Linked DNA regions of Macaca mulatta. The protein of the gene in region 7 purifies or fractionates together with the protein of the main gene of each other region. This does not show direct contact. Links are inferred from orthologs where the notes say so. Each region holds a gene or a part of one and is shown on either strand. Other genes may lie near its edges. The genes, in order: FAM110B, SNX24, FAM83D, FAM83H, GAPVD1, VPS13B and CSNK1D.

What was found.
Region 1: the proteins of CSNK1D (region 7) and FAM110B purify together in Homo sapiens (affinity purification with mass spectrometry; 3 studies listed by BioGRID and IntAct, counting the BioPlex papers as one, with this or other methods). This does not show direct contact. The link is inferred for Macaca mulatta from reciprocal best matches to the Homo sapiens genes CSNK1D and FAM110B.
Region 2: the proteins of CSNK1D (region 7) and SNX24 purify together in Homo sapiens (affinity purification with mass spectrometry; 3 studies listed by BioGRID and IntAct, counting the BioPlex papers as one, with this or other methods). This does not show direct contact. The link is inferred for Macaca mulatta from reciprocal best matches to the Homo sapiens genes CSNK1D and SNX24.
Region 3: the proteins of CSNK1D (region 7) and FAM83D purify together in Homo sapiens (affinity purification with mass spectrometry; 4 studies listed by BioGRID and IntAct, counting the BioPlex papers as one, with this or other methods). This does not show direct contact. The link is inferred for Macaca mulatta from reciprocal best matches to the Homo sapiens genes CSNK1D and FAM83D.
Region 4: the proteins of CSNK1D (region 7) and FAM83H purify together in Homo sapiens (co-immunoprecipitation; 5 studies listed by BioGRID and IntAct, counting the BioPlex papers as one, with this or other methods). This does not show direct contact. The link is inferred for Macaca mulatta from reciprocal best matches to the Homo sapiens genes CSNK1D and FAM83H.
Region 5: the proteins of CSNK1D (region 7) and GAPVD1 purify together in Homo sapiens (affinity purification with mass spectrometry; 5 studies listed by BioGRID and IntAct, counting the BioPlex papers as one, with this or other methods). This does not show direct contact. The link is inferred for Macaca mulatta from reciprocal best matches to the Homo sapiens genes CSNK1D and GAPVD1.
Region 6: the proteins of CSNK1D (region 7) and VPS13B purify together in Homo sapiens (affinity purification with mass spectrometry; 3 studies listed by BioGRID and IntAct, counting the BioPlex papers as one, with this or other methods). This does not show direct contact. The link is inferred for Macaca mulatta from reciprocal best matches to the Homo sapiens genes CSNK1D and VPS13B.

What each region holds. Positions count from the first base shown.
Region 1 is NC_133413.1:68,832,377-68,835,849, forward strand, and holds the end of FAM110B (protein FAM110B), read left to right. Parts: intron 1-102; 5' UTR 103-425; coding exon 426-1,538; 3' UTR 1,539-2,973; downstream 2,974-3,473. UniProt on the Homo sapiens protein: May be involved in tumor progression.
Region 2 is NC_133411.1:131,973,238-131,976,737, forward strand, and holds part of SNX24 (sorting nexin-24), read left to right. Parts: intron 1-371; coding exon 372-466; intron 467-1,241; coding exon of another isoform or gene 1,242-1,380; exon of another isoform or gene 1,381-1,512; intron 1,513-1,904; coding exon 1,905-1,937; intron 1,938-2,439; coding exon 2,440-2,504; intron 2,505-3,500. UniProt on the Homo sapiens protein: May be involved in several stages of intracellular trafficking.
Region 3 is NC_133415.1:91,796,915-91,801,061, forward strand, and holds the start of FAM83D (protein FAM83D), read left to right. Parts: upstream 1-1,347; 5' UTR 1,348-1,387; coding exon 1,388-2,050; intron 2,051-4,147.
Region 4 is NC_133413.1:154,097,724-154,101,816, reverse strand, and holds the start of FAM83H (protein FAM83H), read left to right. Parts: upstream 1-1,293; 5' UTR 1,294-1,491; intron 1,492-2,203; exon of another isoform or gene 2,204-2,344; intron 2,345-4,093. UniProt on the Homo sapiens protein: May play a major role in the structural organization and calcification of developing enamel. May play a role in keratin cytoskeleton disassembly by recruiting CSNK1A1 to keratin filaments. Thereby, it may regulate epithelial cell migration.
Region 5 is NC_133420.1:22,459,494-22,462,993, forward strand, and holds part of GAPVD1 (GTPase-activating protein and VPS9 domain-containing protein 1), read right to left. Parts: intron 2,357-3,500; coding exon 1,513-2,356; intron 1-1,512. UniProt on the Homo sapiens protein: Acts both as a GTPase-activating protein (GAP) and a guanine nucleotide exchange factor (GEF), and participates in various processes such as endocytosis, insulin receptor internalization or LC2A4/GLUT4 trafficking.
Region 6 is NC_133413.1:110,223,669-110,227,168, reverse strand, and holds part of VPS13B (intermembrane lipid transfer protein VPS13B), read right to left. Parts: intron 2,972-3,500; coding exon 2,722-2,971; intron 1-2,721. UniProt on the Homo sapiens protein: Mediates the transfer of lipids between membranes at organelle contact sites. Binds phosphatidylinositol 3-phosphate. Functions as a tethering factor in the slow endocytic recycling pathway, to assist traffic between early and recycling endosomes.
Region 7 is NC_133421.1:91,982,589-91,986,741, forward strand, and holds the start of CSNK1D (casein kinase I), read right to left. Parts: upstream 2,801-4,153; 5' UTR 2,476-2,800; coding exon 2,400-2,475; exon of another isoform or gene 2,374-2,399; intron 1-2,373. UniProt on the Homo sapiens protein: Essential serine/threonine-protein kinase that regulates diverse cellular growth and survival processes including Wnt signaling, DNA repair and circadian rhythms. It can phosphorylate a large number of proteins.

The DNA.
Region 1 (3,473 bases), on a different chromosome or scaffold from region 7:
GCCGCGAAGGGGCGGGGCGGGGGCGCTGCGGGGTTTCTCTGTTGCTAGAGCCGTGATGTCACCCGCCCTTCCTAACCCGCGGTTGGTTGTTTTGTGTTTCAGCTCTGCCTGCAGTTGAACACAAAGACCTGGAGGAGACTCCCACCTCTTCAGGGAGAAGAAAGGAGGCAGCGAAGCAGATTAAAGGAACTTGTGGCTTGTGGCCTTTTTGTGCAAGGGCTGCCTGAAAGGGGAGAAAAGTGTATGAAAGCCACCGTGGCGGTTAATGAGCTGTGAGATGAGGCGCTGCTGCGGCCGCTGCTGCTGACACTCGCTCCCAGGCTGCACCCGCTGCCCTTGGCGCTTCATGTACATGTGTCTATTCAGGCCGTGCGGAGGCGTCCAGAAGAGCATCCAACACGGCTGCCGGGGAAAGACCGCCCACCATGCCCACGGAGACCCTACAGACAGGTAGCATGGTGAAGCCGGTCAGCCCCGCGGGCACCTTCACCTCTGCCGTGCCCCTACGTATCCTGAACAAGGGGCCAGACTACTTCCGCAGGCAGGCCGAGCCCAACCCCAAGAGGCTCAGCGCCGTGGAGAGGCTGGAGGCCGACAAGGCCAAGTACGTCAAGAGCCAGGAGGTGATCAACGCCAAGCAGGAGCCCGTAAAGCCCGCCGTGCTGGCCAAGCCCCCGGTGTGCCCGGCTGCCAAGCGCGCGCTGGGCAGCCCCACGCTCAAAGTATTTGGCAACCACGCCAAGACCGAGAGTGGCGTGCAGAGGGAGAACCTCAAGCTGGAGATCCTGAAGAATATCATCAATAGCTCCGAGGGCTCCAGCTCGGGCTCGGGGCACAAGCACAGCTCCCGCAACTGGCCACCCCACCGGTCGGAAACCACCGACCTGCACCGTCACTCCTTCGCGGAGTCCCTGAAAGTCTATCCCACGCAGGGCCGCGGCAGCCCGCAGGAGGGCGGCTCCCACGTGAGCAGGAGACTGCTGGAGCAGTCAGCCGAGTCCTTCCTCCACGTGTCCCACAGCTCTTCGGACATCCGCAAGGTGACCAGCGTGAAGCCCCTCAAGGCCATCCCCTGCAGTAGCTCTGCCCCTCCCCTGCCTCCCAAGCCCAAAATCGCAGCCATCGCCACCATGAAGTCCCCCGAGGCCGACCCTGTGGAACCAGCTTGTGGAGTCAGCCGAAGACCCTCCCTCCAGCGGTCTAAGTCAGACTTGAGTGACAGATATTTCCGAGTGGACGCGGACGTAGAGAGGTTCTTCAACTACTGTGGACTGGACCCGGAAGAGCTGGAAAACCTGGGAATGGAAAACTTTGCAAGGGCTAATTCTGACATAATATCCCTCAACTTCCGCAGCGCAAGCATGATCAGCTCAGACTGTGAACAGTCTCAGGACAGTAACAGTGACCTTAGAAATGATGACAGTGCCAATGACCGTGTGCCGTATGGCATTTCTGCCATCGAAAGAAATGCCAGAATCATCAAGTGGTTATATAGCATCAAACAAGCTAGAGAGTCACAGAAGGTCTCCCACGTGTAAGACAGTGCGTGGAAAGGAGGGAGGGTGGGTCTCTGTGCTTACGCAGTTGTAAAGGTTGTGAGGTCTCCTTGAAGTGTTGTGAGCTTCTCCACTCTTTGTGTTGCTTGTTGTGCAATGTTTTCAAGTTGCATGCCTGTCAACATGGGGACTGACCTGGCTTCCACGTCACCATCGCTGCAGAGCCTGGCCTAACACGCGTCATCTGCCAAAAGTTTCAGGCCAGAATCTAATTAGGGCTTTGCTCTTAAGCAAAACTGTTTACATGAAAATGGTATACGACTTCTTCAATATTTATGTGGTTCTTGTGTTTTTATATCCCGCGCTATTATGTCTTAATTAAAAGTTTTATCAACTGGCTTTTAAGTTGAGAGCAGAATCTTTTTGAAATAAAAAGCCACTTTGCCTACATGTGAGACTATTCCAATGGGACAGTAAATGGGATCTGCTACCAAACAGATAGTGACTGACCACACATAGAACCAGGCTGGGTTTTCTGTGGAATAAAGTGGTGAGCCTGACGTTAATCGTTTACATGTTGAAATTCTCTTGCCACTTAGTGAAGTGTCGCTGGGGTAACAATGCTAAGTTTTGTGTCCAATTCAGTGTGTAAATGTTGGTGGTTCTGTGTAATGCTGACCCCAAGGAAAGACAATCAGATAAAATGAAGGATGGTTAAATCTAGGAGGTTGGGTGTTTGGGGGTTTTGTTGATGTTGTTCTGATTTGGGATATTTCAGAAATTTTTAATACTATCTTTTGACAGAATGGCCACCCTAAAACAAATACTGAATGCCTTTAAAAAAAAAAAAAAAAGTTGTGTTTGTTTGTTTTTGTCGAGAACTACTAATTTCATGCTGTTTCTTTCTTTCTCCCTTTGTTGTTATTTGATTTGAGGGAAGGGAGTGAGGCTTGTGCAGGTTTGAGCTATCAGAAGACATGAACAGAAGTGAAAATACCAGCCATATCAGTAGAGCCTCCCATTCAAAAGTGAACACACTTGGTAGCTGAACCATATCTGAGCAGCGTGATTCTGTTGTCTTGCATATGTTACTCTCTCAGGCTGTGGGTCTCTGTTACAGCTCTAGGAAACTGTAGAATTTCAATGCTATGTAGCTTTTCCACCCCATGGTCTCTAGTGCTGCCTATCAACTTGTCCCCTTTTTTTCCCAATAACCTGGCTTTCAGGTGGTACAGTTAGCTGTCACTCAGCTGACTCTATGATGTGGCAGCAGAGAGGGAAACCTACAAGTGGTTTGCCTCATTGCCTTTGCCACATCTGAAGTTCTCAGCAGCGCTACCTTAGACTTCATCAGCTAATAGGAAACTTTTTATGGTGTAAATGCTGTAAGACTTTGTACATACTTCAGTTGTTATGAAATCTTTAAAGAAAAAAAAGAAAAAGTTACACTAATAAATTGCTCTGGTGCAGGCACTAATGGTGGTGGTTTCTCTTTGTCCTTCTGTATTCTCCTTCCACAAAAGTTTGACTTTGGACTATGAATCAGAAGCAGATTTTTGATAGTCTTGAAGAAACATTATTTCATTAAGTTATATTCACCACATTCCAATTACTCCAAACACCAGTGTTCTTAATTGTGGCTCTAGCAATGTGCTTTTGCTAAAATGGTTACATCAGGGTTCCTAAAATGTGCTGCAGCATCTCAATTCACACTTGTGTTATTTTTGTCTTTTCTTAAACATCAGGATTTTTTTGCATCTTCCACATGACTCTTCAGTTGTAAATATTTATGCGTTCTCACCTTGGAGGCATACCTTCGAAATGTATGGCTTTGTTTTTATTTGTACCATCCCAACATCCGTACCTTGGCATGTTTTCACACACTGGCTCCTCCACTCCTTCCTTCATTCCTCTTGAAAATGTCACTTGTTGAGTGAGTGACTCCTTCCAGGTATCATGGTAGGCACAGGACTTTCA
Region 2 (3,500 bases), on a different chromosome or scaffold from region 7:
TTAACAGTATTATTGATGTTCCCAGGTTTTGAAATATTCACTCTGGATTAGAATCTCCATGAAGGCAGGAACCATTTCTACTTGGCTCCCCACTGTCTTGTCCCCTAGTCAGCATCTAGTGTATAGTAGGTGCTCTATAAATGCCAGTTGAATGAAAGAACAGATAAACTGCAGTATTTGCCAGCACTCCCTAGCATGTGTGTCAGCCTGAATTCCTGGTGGGCAAAACAGAGACCACTCCTCATCTTGACTGTGAGGAATGTTGCTGGTAAGAACTTTGATGGACGGTTATGCCTTTTTGAAATAGTTCATTTGATTGATTGCCTAGCAAACTTCACTTCAGTTTCTAATTCTGTTTTCTGCTTTCACAGGCTGTCATTTTAGAAAATGAAGAACTTCCCAAACTGTTTCTTGATTTCCTAAATGTGCGACACTTGCCCTCTCTACCAAAGGCAGAAAGTTGTGGGTAAGAATCATGTTTGCATATTGGATGTATATTTTAAATTACTCTTCAATGACCGATTGATCTAACAAATAGCCCAGAGTGATGCCTGAGTAGCCTGCCGGCCACGCCCACTCTTTTGGCTTGCTACAGCACTCGCTCGCTGCCTGCTTTTGGTCAAAAGAATTCCTCTGAAGTCGTCATACCCATCTTGTGGCCAAATGGCCATGGTTCAGTAACCCATGTTTAGACTCAAGGAATCAATCTTTTCAATTATGCTGTTACATAGAATGATGTTACTTGATAGGAATTATGAATCTAGATAACATGTTATGGACTCATTAGTGGAAACTCAAGCAAAGTTCATATCCTGGTGGTACACATATTCATATAATTTTAAAGTTATGAATGACCTTAGAGATGATTTGATCCAACTCCTCTCATTTTGTAGTTGAGCAAACAGAGACACAGGAATTTAGTGTCTTTTCCAAGATCTCTTGCCTTGTAGCTTGCAGAACCGAGGCCTTCCAAGGCGAGCCCTCTTCCTCTACTGTCCAGCTGTCTCTCTCAGGAACTTCCAGTGGCAGAACTACAAATCCTAATCCCTATCTATTGGTCTAAACCCATTGGTCCTAAACCCAGGGACCCAGAGGTTTGATATCATTAGCAATTGGGAAAAGCTCTCCCAAAGAATTAACTCTGAAACAAGCCACTTGCCCAGCAACAGGTACATGACGTGGGCTGAGCTAGCCTCAGAAGACCTTCAGAAACATCCATGGCATACTGTATCCATTTACAGGGAAGCAAATCATCACAAACTCTCAAAATCCATGCAGGAGAGAGGTGTACCCATATTCTCGCTGCTTCCAGACCTGCCTGAAGGAACCACACTTAAAACTACAAGAAGATCAAGCAGACCACACCCAAAAGCATGTTAAACCCCAGCCATCCACTGGATGACGGGGCTGCAAACACCTGTCACAGCTCTTCATGAGCACTGTTTACTCAGGGCCACTTTCCACTTATTGCAGAGCAAAAATTATACACTACACTTGGCAAATAATGAAATAATGTGCTGTCAGTGTGTTCTGTTCCAACTTGTATGTGTTTACAGGGAGGTTGGGCTTCGTATATGTTTATGTATTTTTTAGAATAGACATTAGCAATGGTATTGAGTGAAATGTTTTCTCCATTATACAAGCTCAAAAGTAGTAATAAAATCTGAGGATTTTTAAGTAATTATCAGGAAAATTGAAATCAAAGAATATTCCAGTCTTCAGATTCCTTAGGATGGGGCATAGCCATGCTGTGGCTCAGTGGAAACTCACAACTCTTCTTAAAAATATCTCCCAATTCAGTCATCTAAAACTATTGGGTATTTTTTCCTTTGTTGGCATAAACATTGACTCAACGTACGCGGTTTTTTTGTTTGTTTGTTTGTTTCCTTTTTCAAAACTTTTAGATCTTTTGATGAAACAGAGTCTGAAGAATCAAGGTAAGGACTAATCCTCATCAGCCGGGAATAGGATTGTGGTTTTGCTAAATGTTTAATCACCCATGATATGTTTCAAGTTATGTTTTTCTTAAAAACCTTTGTTTGAAAATTGGTTTTAAGATTATAAATATTTGATAGGGAAATACAGGAGTAACCAGTTAGAATTAAGAGTGGAGGAATAAGAGCCCTACATTGTTTCATGCAAGTAATCAGAATGTTTTATCAACAATCGTATTACAAGATTTTTAGGAAAGCACGTTTCAGCAATGACTTATTGTATAGATTGTATATCTGCTTCAAATTCCACAAAGAAATGTTTAGAAGATGAGAGCAGTGCCCATTTGTTTGCTCTCACTCTGTGTGCTATTATTCACCCACACTGTTAGAACATAAACCTTGAGACGTCCCCACACAGCAGTTTGATCCCCTCAAAGCTAGTTTGTAGTGTTTTCTGTTTACCATCGTCCCCTGATGCTGACATGCCTGTTCTTGACCTTTCCAGCAAACTGTCCCACCAGCCTGTGCTGCTGTTCCTCAGGGATCCATACGTCTTGCCTGCAGCCAGCGGTAATCAAACCTGTCATCTGCTAACAGCTCTTTACTGATCTGACCCTGTACCACATAAACCACGTTTTTAATACAGGTCTAACAGAGTGACATTGGTCCAGGGCTTAATAATCTGCCAATAAACCAGTGCTCTTGGTGTAAGAGACATTTAGAATTTTAATTGAGGCCAGCCTTTCAGGAGGAAATGTAATTTTTCTTTCTCTCTTACCAGACTATTTTGAATTAGAGTAATAAGGCAGAAAGGTATTTATGGTCCTTAATTTTTCCGATCATGTCATTTTGGCCTCTGCTTGTTTTTGTCCAGATGCCAGGGTTCAAATTCAAGGATCTAGTCCTTTTTAAAAATGCCTCTTCCGAAAAATCTATGTATATATACATTGCAGGCATATCTCCATTTCTATTTAGATTACAGCATCTTTGATGGCCAACTGTATATTTTTGAAAGTTGCATATTTTAAATACAATTAATTGATTTAAGTATAATTGTAATCAATATTTTCGACTGAGTCTTTTCTCTGTGCAAAGAAATTTAAATTCATCAGAGTCCCTCTCAAAGTATTCTGTTATGCATCTCTTTATGAGTTCATTTGCATACATTATCTCACTTAATTTCCTTAACAACCTTGTGAACTAAGCAGGGCTGATATTATCATTGGCTAAATGGGAAAATTGGGGTCCAGGGAAGATGGTTGATGGGTGGACCTCTTGTTGCCTATGTATTCCTTCTGTGCTCTTTGCACATAGTGAATCTTGTTTCTGGGAGTCACTAAATAGTAATAGATAAATGATCCATTGAAACCCTTCCTATTTCTGACAATAAAACCTTATGAGCAGGAGAAAGGGAACTGCTCTCTCTAGCAAGGATGCACATACTCAGATCACCCACTTAGCTGTCAGTTTGAAGAAAAGTAGCCAGGACGCAGTCCTACTCCTCCCTAAGAAGGGTTGAGGGACCCTTCCTAGTAGCACCCTGATCAGAGTGAACTGCCTTTGCTG
Region 3 (4,147 bases), on a different chromosome or scaffold from region 7:
TTTTTGTAGAGACAGGATCTCACTATGTTGCCCAGGCTGGTCTCAAACTCCTGGGCTCAAGTGATCCTCTTCCCTTGGCCTCCCACAGTGCTGGGATTACAGGTGCAAGTCACCATGGCCAGCCACATCTGAGATTTTATGCTGCAAAAGTAAGAAGAGAGATGGGGAGCTTTAGAGGAATGTAGAGTCAAAAGAGGGTTGTTTTAAGACGAAAAATATTTCAGCATGCGTGTAGGTTGATAGAAATGAATCAGTAAAGAGGGAAGCTGATGTTCCAGGAGAAAGAAGAAGGTTGCTGGAGTGATGCTGGTGAGTAGTAGAGGGGCTGGAAGTGCCCAGGCAGAGGGGTTGGGGTTGGATGGGCACAGGCGCAGTTCATCAATGCCCAGTATATGGGCAGCGATGGAGACAGGAAGGTAGACTAGATGGGCGCACGTGGACGTTCCCTTCTCACTGCTTCTGTGTTCTCGGTGACATAGGAGGCAAGCTGTCAGAGAGGAAAAGGTAGAGAGAATGAGGGAAATGTGGCCTACCAGGCAGTTTTTTTGTTTTGTTTTGTTTTGTTTTGTTTTTGATGGAGTTTCGCTCTTGTCGCCCAGGCTGGAGTGCAGTGGTGTGATCTGGACTCACTGCAACCTCCTCTCCCCGCATTCAAGTGATTCTCCTGCCTCAGCCTCCCGAGCATCTGGGATTACAGGCGTACATCAAGATGCCCGGCTAATTTTCGTATTTTTAGTAGAGACGGGGTTTCACCGTGTTGGTCAGGCTGGTCTCAAACTCCTGACTTCAGGTGATCCGCCCTCCTAGGCCTCCTAAAATGCTGGGACTACAGGCGTGAGCCACTGCGCGCCCGGCCTCCTAGCAGGTAGTCTTACAGATTATGAATGTAAAACATGACCAGTCAGTAAGCATGGTTATGCTCTTTTTGTTTTTTTCTCCAGCCCTGTAGGGCTGCCGGGGTGCAGGTGCAAAGTAGGATACAACCAGGGTTGGTTGGAGTTTTACAAGGCAAAAACTGATGAAATGAGAGAAGACTACCCGAGGGTGTAAGCAAAGGAGCGGTCCTAATATGATGAGCCGGTATTTTTTTAATGAATGAATACGTGGTTAAAGGCAGGGGATAAAGACGATATGTTTGGCCATACCAAAGCTCTGAGAGCCTAGGAGCAGCGTGGCCAACGTGTCTGGGAGCCGGCACCTGCCTCTCCTCACTGCCTAGGCCTGACTGTCCCTGGCCTTGTAGGGCCGCACTGGGGGGCGGCCGGCAGGGGGCGCCCTGGGATGGCCAGGAGCCCGGCTCTCCCCGCTCTGTCCCTGCTCTGCGGCCCGCCTCGCCCCTGCAAGTTTAAATTCGGCTTAGCAACCCCAGCATCGCAGCCAATAACGCATGAGGGGGCGGAACCGTAGAGGCTTGCGCCCCGCCTCGCTCCGCTATTGGAAGGAATGCAGCCAATGGGAGAGTCGAGGCGGGGAGGTGCGGCCAATGGCGCGGGCCTGTTTGATTCAAAGGTTGCCTATAAAGTGGGCCTGCAGGCTGGTTCTTGTCCGAGGGCTGTCGCGTCCGAGTGCCGCTATGGCTCTGCTGTGCGAGGGCCTGGACGAACTGCCGGCTGCCTGCCTGTCTCCGTGCGGGCCGCCCAACCCGGCCGAGCTGTTCAGCGAGTCACGGCGCCTGGCTCTGGAGGAGCTGGTGGCCGGCGGCCCCGAAGCCTTCGCGGCCTTCCTGCGACGCGAGCGCCTGGCTCGCTTCCTGAACCCCGATGAGGTGCACGCCATCCTGCGCGCGGCGGAGAGGCCAGGAGAGGAGGGCGCGGCGGCGGCGGCCGAGGACTCGTTCGGCTCCTCGCATGACTGCTCGTCTGGCACCTACTTCCCCGAGCAGTCGGACCTGGAGCCGCCGCTGCTGGAGCTCGGCTGGCCCGCCTTCTACCAGGGCGCCTACCGCGGCGCCACGCGCGTCGAGGCCCACTTCCAGCCCCGCGGCACGGGCGAGGGCGGCCCCTACGGCTGCAAGGACGCTCTGCGCCAGCAGCTCCGCTCGGCGCGAGAGGTGAGCGGCCCTCCCGGGCTCTGGGTCGCACGGGAGACCCCCTTCAAGAATGGGAAATTGAGGCCTGCGGGGAGCACAGGCCGGGGCGACTACCTCCTCAGCTCCCTACCGGAAGCGCGGGCCACGGGGTCCCGGGGTCCCCGACTCACACCCCACTCTGCGTGTCTTCCCCGGATCCCCCGGGCCGCTCCTGGTGGCAGGGGATAGTGGGGAAGCCTCGGTTCCCAAGGATAAGAATTGTGTCCGGGTTCCATCTCCTAACGTTCATATCCCTGAAGGAGGGACCAGAAGTACTCCCAGCTCCAAATTTCAGTTGAAATCAAACTTGGAAAATTGCCGATTTCCCTGGCTGTCAGCCAACGCTACATCCCACTTTCAGGAGCTTCTTAGGAGACTCATTACCAAAGAACTTACCTAGGGAAAGTTCCAGGAAGGTGGTCTCCAGAGACAACTACGGGGCATTAGGAATCAATTATTATTGCTAATTACTTTCACGCATCTTATGTTGTAAAAAGCAGATAAACACAAGTGGCAAAGTGAGACCCCTGCCGCTTTTTCTTTCTTGTCTTTTTTTTTTTTTTTTCTTTGAGACAGAGTCTCACTCTTTTGCCCAGGCTGGAGTGAAGTGGTGGGAACTCAGTTCACCGCAACCTCCGTCCCCGGGTTCAAGTGATTCTCCTGCCTCAGCCTCCCAAGTAGCTCGGATTACAGGCGCCTGCCACCACTCCCGGCTAGTTTTTGTATTTTTAGTAGAGACAGGGTTTCGCCATGTTGGCCAAGCTGGTCTCGAACTCCTGACCTCAGGTGATCCACCCTCCTCGGCCTCCCAAAGTGCTAGGATTAAGGCGTGAGCCACTGCGCCCGGCCCCCTGCCGCTTTTTCTACTGCCAGAGACTGGAGGGGAAATTTGCCGTTGTGAATGAAAGGGGCAAGGAGTTTTCCATAGGCTGGGTCTGTGCCAGATTGCAGTGGTCTCCTAAAATGCAGATACATTTGCATTAGATCGGCTTCTGTTTTGGTCCTACTGTCTGACTCAGTATGGCATGGTCATGGGCGCAGTGGAGGTCTTGTCTGCTTGCCAGCCTCAATGAAGCTGCAGCAGGGTGTTGGGGATCAAGGAGGAAGAAGGCAGCCTGCATGTGGGTGTGGCAGAACAGTATGGTGGCAGACACCTTGGTCTGGAACCATGGTCAGGTTGCTTGCTGACTGGCAGTGCCCGGCTTCCTGGCTGTCTGCCTGTGCCAGGGACATGGCAGATAAAGCCCCAGCCATGGTAAGACTTGCGAGGGCTGGTACATGAGTGTGTCTGACTGTGGGTGAAGATACCAGTGCATTGTCAGGTTGACATGTCCAAGTCCAAGCCCCAATTCTCACCAATGTTCTTAATATTCTTTCCCTGAATGGTGGGGTTGCAGTGGTAGTGGATACAGTGACCTAGTGCCTTGCTTTTGAGGGAGTGGTTGTGGGCTGCAGCTAGGCTTTTACCAGCCCTGAGGTGCTTTAGGTGGGCTGAGGGTTTTTTGATGCAGTAGACATTTTCCTTGCGGGTTCAGTGAGAAGATTAAAAAGATGGAAAAGGCAGACTTGTGTAGGTATGCGTTCCCAAAGCTCACCTCCAGTAGAACTTGAGCACTTGGAACCTGAAAAATGTAAAGAACTGGTCTATATAGTGAGAGCTGTGGATTGTTCTAGTCTTTTGCCCATCTCAAAATTTTAGTGATAGCAAAGGGGCACTGGAACCAGAGGCCAGAGGGAAATTAAACTCACGTGCTGGCCTGAGGAGGGGATGGAGCCGGGAGCTCAGACTCTCCCTCATCCCATGGGCGTTTTGTAATACTGACATTTCCAGATAGAACCTGCTGCCCTAGTCTAGCTACCCACAGTTCCCTCTGAGATGCTATATTTGGAACGTGGGCAGTTTAAACTGAGAAAGTTACCTTTAAATCCGATGAGTATTGGCTGGATACGGTGGTCAAGCCTGTAATCCCAGCACTTGGGGAGGCTGAGGTGGACGGATCACGAGGTCAGCAGTTCGAGACCAGTCTGGCCAACATGGTGAAACCCCATCTCTACTAAAAATACAAAAATTAGCAGGGC
Region 4 (4,093 bases), on a different chromosome or scaffold from region 7:
GGTACCAGTGGGGTGTCACTGAGTGTCTGGGGAAAGAACAAATGAAACTGGGAGTGACCCTGAAAACAGAAAATAGGATCACATGGCAAGAGGGACAAACAGAAAGGTGACTGATACCATCAGAAAGCGTTCAGGCAGGGCCAGTCCTTGGGGTGGGAGTGGCAGGGGTGAAGGGTGGTGGTTTGGACAGGTAATCCAGTGCAGGGCAGGGCCTAAGTGGGGGGAGAGGCCCTAAGTGAGGGCCTGAGGGGGATTTGGGGGTTCTGGAGCACCCAGGGGCAGCTCGGGGTAGTGTGTGGGGTTGCTGTGTTCATGCGGGGGCGTCTGGTATGTGAGGCTTGGTGTGCACACTGGGTCCCTTGTCCGTGTTGGGGCTTGGTTTTCGCGGGGTCCCCGAGTGTACACCCAGGGTTCTATATGTGTGAGGGAGGTCCCCTGGTCTCTCAGAGTCAGTGTGAATATGGCATCCCTGTTTGTGTGTGGGATCGGTGTCTGAGGGCTCTCATATGCAGGTGGGGTTCCCTACGTGTGCGGACGTCAGCGTGTTTGTGGGTGACTGAAGTGGATAGGACTGGGTGTTCTTGTTGGGTTCTGTCTTCCTGAGGAGTCTCCTGTGCTTGGGGGGTTGGTGCACACGAGGGACAGGTCATTCGGGGTCCGCATGTGCATTGGGGGTCACTGCAGCAGAGTCCCCTACAAGTGTGGGCATGGATGTGAAGGGATGAGGGAGAAAGATGGGGAACCCCAGGTACTTGTGGGCATCAGTGTGTGTGTGTGGTGGGGGTCGGGGCCTGGGGGTCCTCTGTTGGGCGGGATCCCCTCTACGTGTGGGACGCTGGTGCGGTGGGAGACCGGTGTGTGGTGAATGGATCCCCTGTGCTTTCGGGGCTCCCAGACCCGGCCCCGCCCGGGGCTCGACGCCGCCCCAGCGCCCTCACCTGCCGCACCTGCCTTCACCAACTCGGCGAGGAGGTCAGAGCTCCGCCCCTTGCGTCGGGCTGGCTTGTTTCCTAGCGACTGAGCCGGAACTTCCGAGTCACCCCAACTTCCGGGGCGAGGGTCAGGGGTCAGGCTAGGAACTTTGAGCCTGGGGTCAACAGTTGGGCTCCTGGGGGTCGAGGCCTTTGAAGTGGGGGCCTCACGGTCTCCGGCGGCGCTGGGCCGGGGTTTCTGGGCACGTGGCCGCAGGGCACGGGCGAGTCGGGGCGGAGGGTCGGGGCGCGGGCCGGGGGCGCGGTCCGGGGCGGGCGGCGGGGCCGCGGCGGGCGCGGGGCGCAGGAATGCGGGCGCGCCGCGGGTGGGGCCGCTCCGCCCCCAGGTGCTGCCCGGGCAGGCAGGAGGCAGGAGCGACGGGCGGGGCGGGGGCGGGCGCGTGAATCAGGCCGGGCGGGCCGCGGCAGGGAGTGGCTGCCGGACCGACCGGACCGCGAGGCCGCTGGGCGGCGGTCGGCTCCTGCTGCCCCTGTGCCGAGACCCCGCGCACCTGGCCAGGTAGGGCCCCCCTCCCCCGGCCCGGGCGGGGCGAGGCGGGGGCGGGCGCCCCTCGGTGCGGTCCCACCTGGGCTACCCTCGCGCCCGCACCTGGGCCGGGGCCGCGCGACCCAGAGAGGGGAGGTGGGAGTGGAGCGCGGCCGCGTGCGCGGGGCCGGGGCGGCGGGTCAGCTCGGACAGGGGGCGCCGCTGTGCGGATATGGACGCGAGCGCCCTCGCACGACGGCAGCCCGAGAAGAGCCGAGTGGGAAGCGGCCCGGGATCTGGGTCGAGCCTGCCTGGCCGTCCCGACTCGCTGCTGCCCTCGCGGCCTAGCTGGAGTCTGGGTGCTGGGCACGGCCTGGACCCTTCCCTGGGGACGCCCGCCCGGGCCACCGTGGACTGGGGTGGCCAGGGTGCGGCCTGGATCCCCGCCTGGCAAGCAGGGCGAGTGACGGGAGGGCTGCCCGTAGCGCCCATGTTCCAGGGCTGGGGTGGGTGGATGGGGCACCCAGCCGCCGCAGCCGCGAGCTCGCAGGGTGCACTGACCCCGTTGGGGGCTGGGGTGCCCACCCCGCAAGCTATCACTGAGCGACTTCCGGTCTGTGAGCCCTGTCCTCCGCACCCCACCTTTCCGCCTCCTAGAGCCTCCGCGCCCTCCTGGGCCCATCGGAACTTGGCACAGGCTCACCCCACTTTGTGTAGGAACTCCGGATCCTTCCATGGGGTCCTCCTTCCAGATACTCAGGAACCCCACTTCCTGCCAGGGTGGAGAGGATGGGGTCCTTGAAGGCCAGCTGAGGGCCCTGACTTCGAGTCAGAGGTCAGGGGTCAGCAGCAGAAGAGTGGATTCGTGCTGAGTCATTGGCCATGGGTGGGTTCCGTGCCCTACCTCCCTTGGGCAAGCGTTTGGTAGGCAAATGTGTGGGCATGCAGGCCACTGGGGTGCTCCATCTCAGGCTTGGGAGTGTCTGCGGCCCCGTCCATAGCCCAGCAGACACGTACCCATGAAAGGACACGATGTGAGGAATGAAGCCATTGGAGGTCTGGGCATCACCCTGTGATGATGAGGGGTGTCTGCTGGGAGGGCTCCTGGCAACGGGGGATTCCACAGTCCAGATGATCCCTGCCCCCATTACACACAGCCTGGAGCCTGGATGCTGTGTGGATATCCCTCCCCTGTGAAATCCTAAGGGACAGTGGGGGTCCTTTCTAGAGTGTCCCCCAGCGTCGGGAAGTGCCCTCAAACAAGGTTAGCAGGGTTGTTCCCCCTGCCCTGTATGGTCAGACACCGCCCCTACAGCCAGGCTGGCAGTGGTGAGTGGGCGCCCCGGCCCAGCCAGACAGGCCTACACCTCACCCCCATGTGGTTGGCCTCGATCTGCCCTAACGAGCCCCATATGTCAACCATGAGGACAATGCCCCAACAAAGAAATGTTGGGACAGCTTCTCCCAGGCCAGTTGGCATCTGGGGCTGTTGAGTGGCACCAGGTATTTCCCATGTCCCAACTCCATGTCACCCCCGGGGGTACCAGGCAGGACGGCGGCCTCCTGACCCCAACATTCTCAGCCTAGTGGCTCCGGTTAGCACCCGTGCAGTCCAGCTGGCCAGCGCCCATCCTGTCAGTGCCCCAGGGCACACTCCTCTGTCTGGGCTGAACCACCTTCCCAGCCAGGGCCAACATTCGGGAACCTGTGTGCTAGGCGGGGATAGGTGTCCTGCCTCCCTCCCCAACCCGAGGAGCAGTGGGATGGGCTGAGCGGTCCCTAGGGCTCTCCTTCCAGGGAGAGGTACCCAGGTAGCTCGGTGACCCCAGGCGTGGGCCCTGGGTGCGCCCCATCTGACCTTTCTGGAGAGGCCAGGCACCCTGCAGGGACCCTTTGGAGAACAGATTGGGCTGTGGGGCAGCCAAGTATGGATGATGGTGGGGAGCCCAGGACCTGGAAAGGTCCCTGCTGCCCTGGACGGGGGGCTGGTGGCAACAGGACTCTGAGCAAGTGGAGAGCCAGATCTGGGCGATATGGAGTGCAGGCCCTGCAGGGCCCTGTGGGCACCAAGGGGTTGTGGTCCAGGGAGGTGTTATCTGAGAAGGACAGTGACAAGAAAGGTCAAGGGAAGGAGGGGGACTGGTAGACAGAGACAGAGTCTAGGGGTCAGTGTTGCAAGGCTGGGCAGTCATAGAATGGGCTGTGGGAACCCAATTGTGAAACCCTGGGGATGGGGAGGAGGTGTCGCCCGGGGCTATGCGTAGGGCTTAGGGTTGCCATTCCAGGAGGAGGGTGGTCACAGCCCTGTTTGCTGCGCTCACCTTGGCTAGGCACGGTGTCTTGTGGACCCTCAGCTGTGTTGTGCAGTAGAGGTAGGCCAGAGAGGTGCAGTGACCTACCCACGGTTTCCCAGGCAGTCAGGGACAGACACATGCCAGCATGGGTGGCACCAGCTTATCCAGTAGGCACAGTGCCAGGGGCCTGTGAATGTCTTAAGAAAAAAGTGAATACTATAATGATGAATACAGCCTGGATTATGTTTGTCTTTAAGCCAACAGTCATAAAATGTTTTGGGGGGCGGTTGGTTTTATTTTCATTTTTTGTAGCGATGCAGTCTCTATCACCCAGGCAGGAG
Region 5 (3,500 bases), on a different chromosome or scaffold from region 7:
AAAAAATAATAAAACGGCTGGGCGTAGTGGCTCACACCTGTAATCCCAGCACTTTGGGAGGCTGAGGTAGGCGGATCACGAGGTCAGGAGATCAAGACCATCCCGGTGCTAACACGGTGAAACCCCGTCTCTACTAAAAATACAAAAAATTTGCCAGGCATGGTGGCACGCACCTATAATCCCAGCTTTTCAGGAGGCTGAGGCAGGAGAGTCACCTGAAGCCAGGAGGCAGAGGTTGCAGTGAGCCGAGATCACGCCACTGCACTCCAGCCTCGGCAACAGAGCCAGACTCCGTCTCCAAATAATAATAATAATAATAAAATAAAAAATAAAAATCACCCAAAAATAGTCTATTCTAAATAAACACCAGTTCTTCACACTATATCTGAGGGATAAGGTGTGATGAAAAGAGTCCATGAAGAAATAATAACATGACTTCAGTCGTTCAGATGATTGCAAAAAAAATATACATCCAAAAACCCTCTTTCCGAAACTCTTAGAAGAGTTTCAGATTTCAGAATTCAGAGATTTTAGAAAGGTAATGCAGTGTATATACACAACATGTTCAATATACAGATGGCATTTTGTAATCAAATGAATCAACATTTCTGCAACAAAATATGAGTATTCACTAGCACTAAATGGAATAACAATTATAAATATAGCTGGGCATGGTGGCGTTCCCCTGTAATCTCAGCTACTCAGGAAGCTGAGGCAGGAGAATCGCTTGAACCCAGGAGGCGGAGGTAGCAGTGAGCCAAGATCGCATCATTGCACTCCAGCCTGGGCAACAAGAGTGAAACTTCATCTCAAAAAAGAAAAGTGAAAAAAAAAAAAAATTGTGAATAGCCTCATGTTACTTCAGCACAGGTTTTGCTACCAAATAAGGTATAGAAGACATTCAGTTTTTGTTCATTTTGGGTTCTGAAATTATAGAAAAGGGATGGTGGACTTATTCTAGAAAATCTAATCAACTCTACATTCAAGTGCGTGAGGATTCCATTTAAAAACAAACACAGCCGGGTGCAGTGGCTCATGCCTGTAATCCCAGGACTTTGGGAGGCCGAGGCAGGCAGATCACAAGGTCAGGAGTTTGAGACCAGCCTGACTAACATGGTGAAACCCCCTCTCTACCAAAAATACAAAAATTAGCCAGAAGTGGTGGTACATGCCTGTAATCCCAGCTACTCAGGAGGCTGAGGCAGGAGAATTGCTTGAACCTGGGAGGCGGAGGTTGCAGTGAGCTGAGAATGCACCACTGCACTACAGCCTGGGTGACAGAATAAGACTCCGCCTCAAAAAATAGACAAAGACAAAATGTTTTGTGACCACCATAGTTTTAAATCCCAGTATTACTGCTTTTATTTAATAAGATGCAAATACTTAGAGCTGGTTGAGAAAATGTCGTAAGATTATACAAATATTGTCGTCATATTATTTGTTCCCACCCCCACAGCCCAATCAACTGATTTTAAACTAAATGTCACATTAATAATAATAGCAAAAGCATACCTGCATCAGATTAAATCGTGCTACCTCATTAATAGGAGCATCAGAAATTATTCCATACTGTTCTGGATTGACAACTGCAGGACAAATGAAGCAGGCCAACAGGAGATCAGTACACATTGCCCTGACCTCCCCCACTTCCAGCCTATCTACACAGGAGAGGGTTTTGTACATCTGAGACACGATCCACCTTAAACTATGTGGAAAACAATATGTGTTCTGTTTGAGATAACCAATAAATTTGTTCACCAAAGCCACTAGTTTGGCTTCATTGGACTCCACCATTTCTTGAACTTTTTGCCTGAATCTGTCTGAGCCCTTCTCTCCAAAGAGTTTTTCCTGCTGAGATGGGGAGAACCTCTCAATTAGCTTGTTTGGATCTGTTTCCAGGTGATCTTCATCTTCAACAAGGAGTTGCATAATTGGCTCATGTAAAGTGGCTGTGAGGAAAAGTTTGGCAGAAAACAGTCCTTCAGAAAAAAGTTTAAATAAGATGCTGAAGGCACAAGTTCCTCTCCTCAAAAGTCGCCTAGGGTTGTCACTTTCTTTAAGTTCAAATTCAATCAAGTATCGCAAAACCTGAAGGAGGTAGCTTTCATCTTCTTGCATGATGCAATTGCCATACAGGGACGTAAAAACTGTGTAAATAACACTTTGTGTGTTCTCCTGATTAAGTTTCTCTCCAGCAACCAAAGAGGAGGCAATAAGACGAGGATTTTCCCTCAATCGACTCAAGAATTCTCCATAAGCAGTCTCCTGAAATCCCAATTGCTTATACCCATCAACAAATTGTGTATCTTCCAAAATTTTGGCATGTTGGCAACATTCAGCAGGGGAAGCTTCAGCACTAAAAAAAAATGAGCAAACAAGCAAAATAATAGTATTAATAATAACACATATGCTATATCCAAACATGGATATATGAGTTGATTATAGTCCCAACAATAAGATCACTCTGAATTGCTAAAATTTTTTAGACCAACAGCAACTCAATGAGTAAAGGAAGACAAAACTAAAAAGTACAAAGGACAATTTCCTCATATCAAAACAGAATCAATGAAAAGTATTGGGGCTGGGTGCAGTGGCTCACACCCGTAATGCCAGCACTTTGGGAGGCTGAGGCAGGCAAATCATTTGAGGCCAGGAGGTCGAGACCAGCCTGGTCAACATGGCAAAACTCCCATCTCTTCTAAAAATACAAAAATTAGCCAGGCATGGTGGCAGGCACCTATAATCCCAGCTACTTGGAAGGCTGAGGCAGGAGAATCGCTTGAACTCAGAAGGTAGAGGATGCAGTGAGCCAAGATCGTGCCACTACACTCCAGCCTGGCCAACAGAGCAAGACTCTGTCTGGAAAAAAAAAAGAAAGAAAGAAAATTATCAGTTTGTAGATCCTAAAAACTGTCCAGCCCTCTTATGAACTAAATTAAAATTAGCTGCAGGACGGGCACAGTGGCTCACACCTGTAATCCCAGCACTTTGGGAAGCCAAGGTGGGAGAATCACTTGAGCCCAGGAGTTCGAGACCAGCCTGGAAAATATGGCGAAACTCCATCTCTACAAAAAAAAAAAAATGAAAATTAGCTAGATGTGGTGGCGTGTGCCTGTAGTCCCAGCACTCAGGAAGCTGAGGTGGGAGAATCGCTTGAGCTCAGGGGCTTGTGACAGCAGTGACCCAAGATCACACCACTGCATTCCAGCCTGGGCGACAGAGCCAGATCCTGTCTGAAAAAAAAATATCAGCTACAGTTAAACTGCTTATGTTTATTTATGGACACAAGAAAGTTTACAAATATTCAAGTACGAAAAAATAATAAAAATGAAGTCCATATCAGCATATTGCTCAACCGTCCTCAACAGCAACATGCCAGTATGTAATGACCTGCAGAATCACATCCTTTAACCAGGCTTTTTGCTTCTGGGAACAAATCCAAATAAAATAGGCCTAAAAGATGTGGGGAAAAAAACACAATGCCCACAATAGCACTGTTC
Region 6 (3,500 bases), on a different chromosome or scaffold from region 7:
AGTGTCTTAACAGCTGGAGAAAGTCCGTGTGATGGCACAGAGATAGTAAAGGGGCTTGCTAGAGAAATAAGTAAGGAGTCCCTTAGAGTTTGGATCTTGTGTTTTTAAGCTTGGGGAAAAACGGTCCCCAAAGATTCACTAACAGATGAAAGCTCTGCACCACCAGGCAAAAGCCAGAGCTCTGATATCATTTGATGGGGCCAGAATTCAGCTGGAAAGCTTTGAATACACAAAAAGTTTTAATTGCTCCTCCTGAACAGCAGCACAGGAAAACCCGTGTTGTGAAAGGAACCCAGCCAAGGAATAAATTGACCTTCTGACTCATTTTGAGCCTCTCATAAGGGATTTCAATAATGTGCCAAGCATATTAAGCAATTATTACCCCTAAACTGGTTGCATTTAACCAAGAAAAGCAAATGCTGAGTTTAAAAAAAAATCTCAATCCTGCCATATTTAAATGTACTGCATGATGTCATCTACAAATTAATTCCTTCCAAAACTCAAAGGAACTGTGTTTCCTAGCATCTAAGGCAAAAGCTAAAAACCAGAAAAGTCATTTATAGAAGATCTTAAAATACTGCTTTTAGTCTTCACTGGAAGTGTTCACAGCAGACAGGCTTCCTTATGTCTGTGGATTATGTTGGGATGCACTAAAAGACAGCTCAAGAAAGCTCCCTGACAAGACAGCACTGCTGGCCACCCTCCCCCACCCACTCATGTTGAAAATACTCCGGATTACAGCAGTTGGGAGGGTTTAGTCTCGAAGATGCTCTGCAGCTTGAGTTTTCTTGGGGGTGAGTAGGAGAGGTTGGGGTTACAGACACAGGATTACGGCAGCAGTTATTCCCGTTAAGTCATTAATAGGAATATTAATGAGACAGAAAGTGGAATAGAGAAAGCAGAATGTGGAGGCTGAAGGCGCATTGGCCCATCCACTTTCCAGCCAGTGCCTGGCCTTGGCTGTGCAGGCACAGTGCTCCTGCTCTCAGTCATGTCTTCCCACCTCTGTTTTAGGCATTTCTTAATCCCAACCCTCTTTCAGCCCTGGACAGCAATGGAAAATCAGTGTTGAAAATGGTATCCAGAGCTTCAGTGCTGCTTCCTCATTCCACAGTCCCAATAATCTTGGCAACTTTTAGGAGTGGTGACTCCAGATACTATCTCAACCCCTAGGGAAACTGAGGTCTGTTTCCTTCCAGCCTATGATGATTCTCCACAGTACCTGCCTCAAACAAAAATACAAGAGAAGGATCACAGTTGAAGACAGTTCAACAGCAAAAGAATCTCCAGTCTCAAGAGTTTAAGATCTGAAATATTTCCCAAGCAGCTAAGGAATAATGATAGTCACAGGGCCTTGGAAGTTTCTCATTAAGGACTAAAGACTTAATTGTAATGATATTATCCCTTGCCAAATCACCGCTGCTTTATTGTCAACTGATAGAAGATCTTGGCAGATCTAATAAAGTCAGCCTGGACATCTGACCTCTGTTTATTCCCAGAAAGTCATCAACTTGAAGGAGCAATGTAGTCCTGGTGCCAAACCCTAGCTTAAAGCCTGACTATGATCATGATCCAAGAAACTAGAGAAATCTTAGAGTTGTTGTGGTTGGCTGCTTTCCATCTTCTCAGATAATTTTACCCAAACAGTGGTGTGACGGAGATACATGCCCCCATCGCAGGAAGAGAATAATGAAAGGAGGATCAGGCAGAACCTACTGGGGGCAGGTTTGCTGTGCTTTGCTGGGGCCACTCAGTCCCCAGGTTAGGACCAGCAGACTCCAGTTTGCCACTGATCCACTACCATCTTGCTGTGTGGAAAAAGATGGCTGTTTCTTATGTAAATAATTAGGGTCTTATGGGTCAGGCCATCACCCAAGGAGGAAGAGCACAGAGCAGTTTTCCAGTGGGTGCACCTGTTTACCCTGGGCTGGACTACAGGAAGCTGGGGTCTTTCTGGTCGGGGCTCAGCTCTGACTCCTGACACCCAGTATGCCTTGCCTGCGCATCTGTTCCACATTATGCAGGCCAGGAGCCAGCCATGGAGCTGCCCCAAGAGCCTTAAGTATCATCCCCAGGGGGGGATTCTGTGGTACTTATGGGGTGGGAAACCATCCTGTGGGAAAGAACACAGCCACAGAATACAAAGCAGTGGATGTGAGAGAGAGAGACCACCTCACAAAATGTTGACCCTTGAAGTCACCAGGTTTGGGGGTAGGGGAGGGAGTGGAGAGTCTTTTTTCATGATGCCCCTTGCTCCTGCAGTGGTCCTCTCCAGCACCCACAGACCTCCAGCACCCTGCAGCCAACTGGGGTCCTCAGGCAGCCAAGGACCTGACTTCAGGCTTTCAGACAAGGGGGCCTCCTTTGTGGAGCAGTTGCTGGGAATTGCTGCCCCAATCCTGGCCCTTCCTGTACCGACCCACTCATTTTGTAACTCCATTGTCCTGTCCATCGAGCACCCCAGCCCCATGACGGCCAAGCCAGATCAGCCTTGTTCAGCTGACATGGTGACTTAGCCCCAGACCTTGAGTCCTGCTAGCCGCCTGCTGGGCTCTCCTGTACAGGGCTCGTGCATATCTGGATGGGGGCTTCCCAGTGCCCTTTTGCAGTGGCCCTCTGGCCTCCACACTCCCTCTCTGGGTAGCAGCTCTCCTTGGTCTCCAGCAGCCACTCCAACCTCCCTGCCAGCTAGTCTTGTTTGCCCTGTTTTCTGAAACGTACCTCCACATCACAGGCCACTCTTGGCTGCTTCAGCTGCACTGTGAGTAGGCTGTTCTGCTTGCTGTCCTGTGCACAGTCGATTTCTGTGACGGGGAAAGCCTGCTGCTGTGTGTCCTCGCTGACACTCACCACGAAGAGCACTTCTGATGTCAGCAGCAAGCACCCTTCATGCTCCTGGCCTGAGCCCCTCACCAAAACCACGTCCAGGGCCATGTGGACTTCTGGTCTGCCCAGAGACTGAAGCATTTTCCTGTTTAAAAGGAGAAAAGTGAGGCCAGGGGCCAGCTTTGAAAAGATGGTCACTTATCAGCACTCATTATTTACCAATGGGGCGGCCTCCCCAAGGGCAAAGGGCCCTCACCAATCCAATTACTCATTTTAGCTTGAAATGTAATTGTCAGTTCTCAAACACTGATTCTGGTTAACAGAACCTGCTTCCTCCTGGGAATAAAGATTTCCCTTGGTTTTGCTTAGCTCCTTTTCTCTCCATTAGAAATAGCACCTCTAATTCGAGTGGCCATTCCACAGGGAATCTCAGGCCCTCTAGCAAGACTGGGCTTCTCTGCCAATGTATGACTTTCCTTGAGTGGTTAGGTATGGAGCAGAGGAGTTGTGCAGCTAGCCCCAAACCTGGCAGTGGCAGCCCCTTCCTGTCCCTCTACAGTGCTCTTGTGCTGCCTGAGATGCCAGTGCCAACAATGGCTACTCCTGGGCTCCCTGGAAGTGTGGCCCATTAGCTTGAGAGCAAGCCAGGAGCTATTAACATACAGTATGGATGT
Region 7 (4,153 bases):
GGAGGGTAGAACGCTGAGTGAGGAGACAGCCTTCCACCCTCCACCTCTGGAATCACTTGGTGACAACCACACCAAAATTTGTCTGACTCTATCTTTGGAAAGCACAAAAGTTGTTTGACAAGGTCTCAGAGAAGAGAACAAATAGTTTCAAAGTACTTCTTTCTTTTTTTTTTTTTAGACAGAGTCTCACTCTATCACCCAGGCTGGAGTGCAGTGGTATGATCTTGGCTCACTGTAACCTCCGCCTCCCAGGTTCAAGTGATTCTCGTGCCTCAGCCTCCCAAGTAGCTGGAATTACAGGCAGCCACCACCACGCCTGGCCAATTTTTGTATTTTTAGTAGAGACAGAGTTTCGCCACTTTGGCCAGGCTGGTCTCGAACTCCTGACCTCAAGTGATCCGCTCACCTTGGCCTCCCAAAGTGCTGGGATTACAGGCGTGAGCCACCACGCCTGGCCCAAAATACTTCTCTTTGATGCCTGCCTAAAGGTGGTTAATGGACTGGCTTTGCAGTGTAACTCAGATCCTGGGATTAAAACTTTCGCCAAAATCTACTGTTCTATAAATAAGCCAAACGACTTCCATTTACCAAGCACCCTGACTTCCAAAACACTGCCAAGAACACATCCAGCTGACCACCTGGTATAAATGTTTAAACAGTCAAACCCAAATGTCTAAGGCCTGCTTACTCAGCAGGCCACTAAGGCATATGTACAGGTTCAAAAGCAACAACATGGCATATGACGGGGTTACCCGGCAGATTAACCAGGCACCCGAAGTATGAGCCACCCATATGTATGGATTCAGCCTAACGCTGTCAGCCCACCGGGTCCTGAGTTCTCTCTCTGGTGAAAAATGGGAAGGGAGTGAGAACTGGGTACTGTCCACATGTGGGTTCATCTAAAAGGTATGACCAGAGGCATTACTGACATCCCATGGGATTCCTGACCCTGGCTGACAAATGCCCCAAAAGCTAGGGCTGCTGGAACAGAAAACAGCTCCCCTCAAAGGTCTGCAGCAGCCCCTCTGCAGGCACACCGCCTCAGGCTACATATCCTCAAATGCAAGGGGTCTTGGAATAACTCGCGCACTGCACAATCCCACTGACAAGTGCAGAAAATTGTTACTTTAAAATTACAAACTTCCGCCAGGCGCAGTGGCTTCCCAGCACTTTGGGAGGCCGAAGTGGGCGGATCACTTGAGATCGGGCGGGCGTTGGAGACCAGCCTGACCAACATGAAGAAACCCCGTCTCTACTAAATATACAAAATTAGCCCGGCGTGGTAGCGCATGCCTGTAATCTCAGCTACTAGGGAGGCTGAGGCAGGAGAATCGCTTGAACCTGGGAGGCCGAGATCGCGCCATTGCCCTCCAACCTGGGCAACAAGAGCGAAACTCCGTTTCAAAAAAGGAAAAAAAAAAAAAAATTACAAACTTGAAGATTTAAGCCAACCTTTCATTACACTTGTGTTCATGTGCATATTTTTCCATTGTAAATATGACACACCCCAGAACGTTCTAATCCCATGTTTTTTGAAATCTACCGTGAGACTGTTATAGTCTAAAGGACAGCTCATGAGTACAACTACTTCATCTGCCTCTCACTTCGCCAGCATCTTAACCCTGGGTGACTTTCTCTACCGTCACCTAAACTTAACCCTTGCTCATCTGCACTCAGTCACCGCTCCAAGGCCAAGGGGCACAGGCGAGAGAGAACCCCCAGCGGTCAGTCATCAGGGCGGCTGCGAGGCGGAGGGCAAGCTCCGCTCCTAGCCGGGCCACTCCCCCACTCCCACAAGGCATTTGGGTCTTTCTGACATTTTCCCCCACGCGTGCAAGACGCAGGGGCAGCCTCTGTGGGGGGAACCAGACAGCCCCGGACCGGGCTGCGGAAGAAAGACCGTGGCCTTTGTTTACTGCGGTGACCTTAGGCGTGGAGGAAGCCGACGCCCGCTCCGCCGCCCCGGCCTTGCCCCCTCCCCGCCCGCGGCCCGCTGCCCCCACCCCCGCCCTGCCCCTCCCCCAGGCGCCCCTCCCCCAGGCCCGCCTCCCCACGCCCCACCCAGCCCTTCCCGGGTCCGCTCCCCACGACCCTGCCCCTACCCGGGTCAGCGCCCCCGAGCCCATGCCCCACCCCGGGTCAGCTCCCCTGTCCCCTCCTCCCTCCAGACCCTGCTCCCCCGACCTGGCCCTGCCCCTCCCCCACGTCCGCTCCCCACTGCCCTCCCCACCCCTGGCCGCGCTCGCCTAGTGGCCGTTGGGTTCTGGCCACGACCCGGCGGCGCCCCGACTTGCACGCAGACCCCGCGGGGGCCGCCACTTCCTTCCGCGGTCGCGATTGGTCTTGGCAGCCTCTGGGCCCGGGTCCTCGAACGGCGGGCGGGGGCGGCGGGGCCTCACCGAGATAGATGTCTCCGAAGGAGCCGCTGCCGATCTTCCGGCCCAGCCGGTACCTGTTCCCGACTCTCAGCTCCATGGCGGCGGCGGCGGCGGCCCGGTTCGCTCCTGCCCTCCCGGCCGCTTCCTGGGTCTGAACTCCGGGAGGCGGCGCCGCTGCTGCCGCTACTGCGGGTCCGGCTGCCGGCTCCGCCCCCCTCACGGCCCCGCTTTCACCATCGCTTTCCTGTCACCCCGCCGCTCCCAGCGCCTCAATACGGGGCGGATGGGACAGTCCGAGCGCCGCCGCCGCTGCTCCGGCCCCTGCCGACCCCGCTTGCCCTCTCCCCGCCGCGGATGGACTCGGATCTTCCGGGCCTAAATCCCCCTTCAGCTGCCTAAAGGAGCCGCCGCCATCGCGCTGTGACGTCACTTCCCCTAGCAACCCGGTGGGGCGGGGCCGCGGCGCTCCGGGGGCGGGGCCTGGCCCTCGGGGGCGGGGCCGGGCGGGGCGAGCGCTCCAGGCCTCCTCCCAACTCTGCGCAGGGCCAAGCCCTTCTGCCCCGCACCGTCCCGTTACCCCTGGACCTCGGGCCGCCAGCCCCTTCCACCTGCAGTCTCCCGCTGCTCTCGCGGGGGCTTTTCGTGTGTCCCCCGAGATGTCGAGGAAGCCAGATGAGTTCCTCGCGACAGGCGGTGCCTTTTGCAGGAGGGGACAGGTAGCTGAGGCCTGGACAGAATGACAGGCCAGGCTCAGGGGACACAGGGGAGACCCCCTCACTGGGCTACCAGTTCCCGGGCTTGGGGCATCCCAGGACGTCAGCGTCTGCAGCCTTACCTCCTGACACCTAAGGCCAGAGACAGGGCGGGCCCACGCCTTCGGAGGTCCTGATGTCCAGCTTGGAGGTCAAGGGCAAAGCCACCACCTTTCACAATACGAGGCCAGACCACCTGCCTCCCGCCAGTCCCTGCGGCCTGGAGACCGAGTCAACATTCTTATCTGTGTTGGTTCTGAATGTTCCTCCTTGCAAAAGAAAACAAGGAGTGGACGTTCAGGCTGATGGCCAGCTTCAAAGATTGGGGCCTTTGATTCCCATCGCTGGGAAGAAAGCCCTTCAGACAAGCCCCCTGGGCTGCGGTGCATGGGGACCTTGAAGAACCCGTACCCATGGTCCCACGTCCATGTATGTTGAGACCTGTCACATCCTCGCTGAAACTCAAGAACGTGAAACAGGTGAATGTGTGTTTTGAGGCAGTAGCATACCAGGGCTCTGGTGTGGGCACCACAGCGTGAGTGAGACAACAGCCTCAGCCCGTCCAGGTCACTGCAGAAGAGGAAAGCAGCCCCCGCAGGCCCCGCAGTGGTGCCCGCCTTTCTCCACCCCCAAGTCCTTCCTCTCCACCCCTCAGCTCCAAACAGCTGGAGGTCGGGTGGGGGAGGCAGGTATCCATTCCTGAAGTTACACAGCAGGGCCTGGAGACAGGAGATGCCACTGGCCAGACCACCGTCAGTCACTAATGAGGCACAGGCAGTCGGAACTGCCCAGTTTCTGAGTTACAGGAGCCTGGGGTGGGGGCTGCCAGACTAGTAGAACTGACCTTATTGGCAGGATCGCTCATGGCTTTTCTGTTGATGAACAGAGCCCAGTTCTCCCGCGGTGACTGTGATCCTTCTTCCTGGGGAGTCCTGCTCTCCCTGACCAGGGGCACCTGCCCACCTGTCAGCTGCTCCTCCCTCAGCTGGTCCTCCTGGGCTCTGATGGCCCCAACATTTCTAG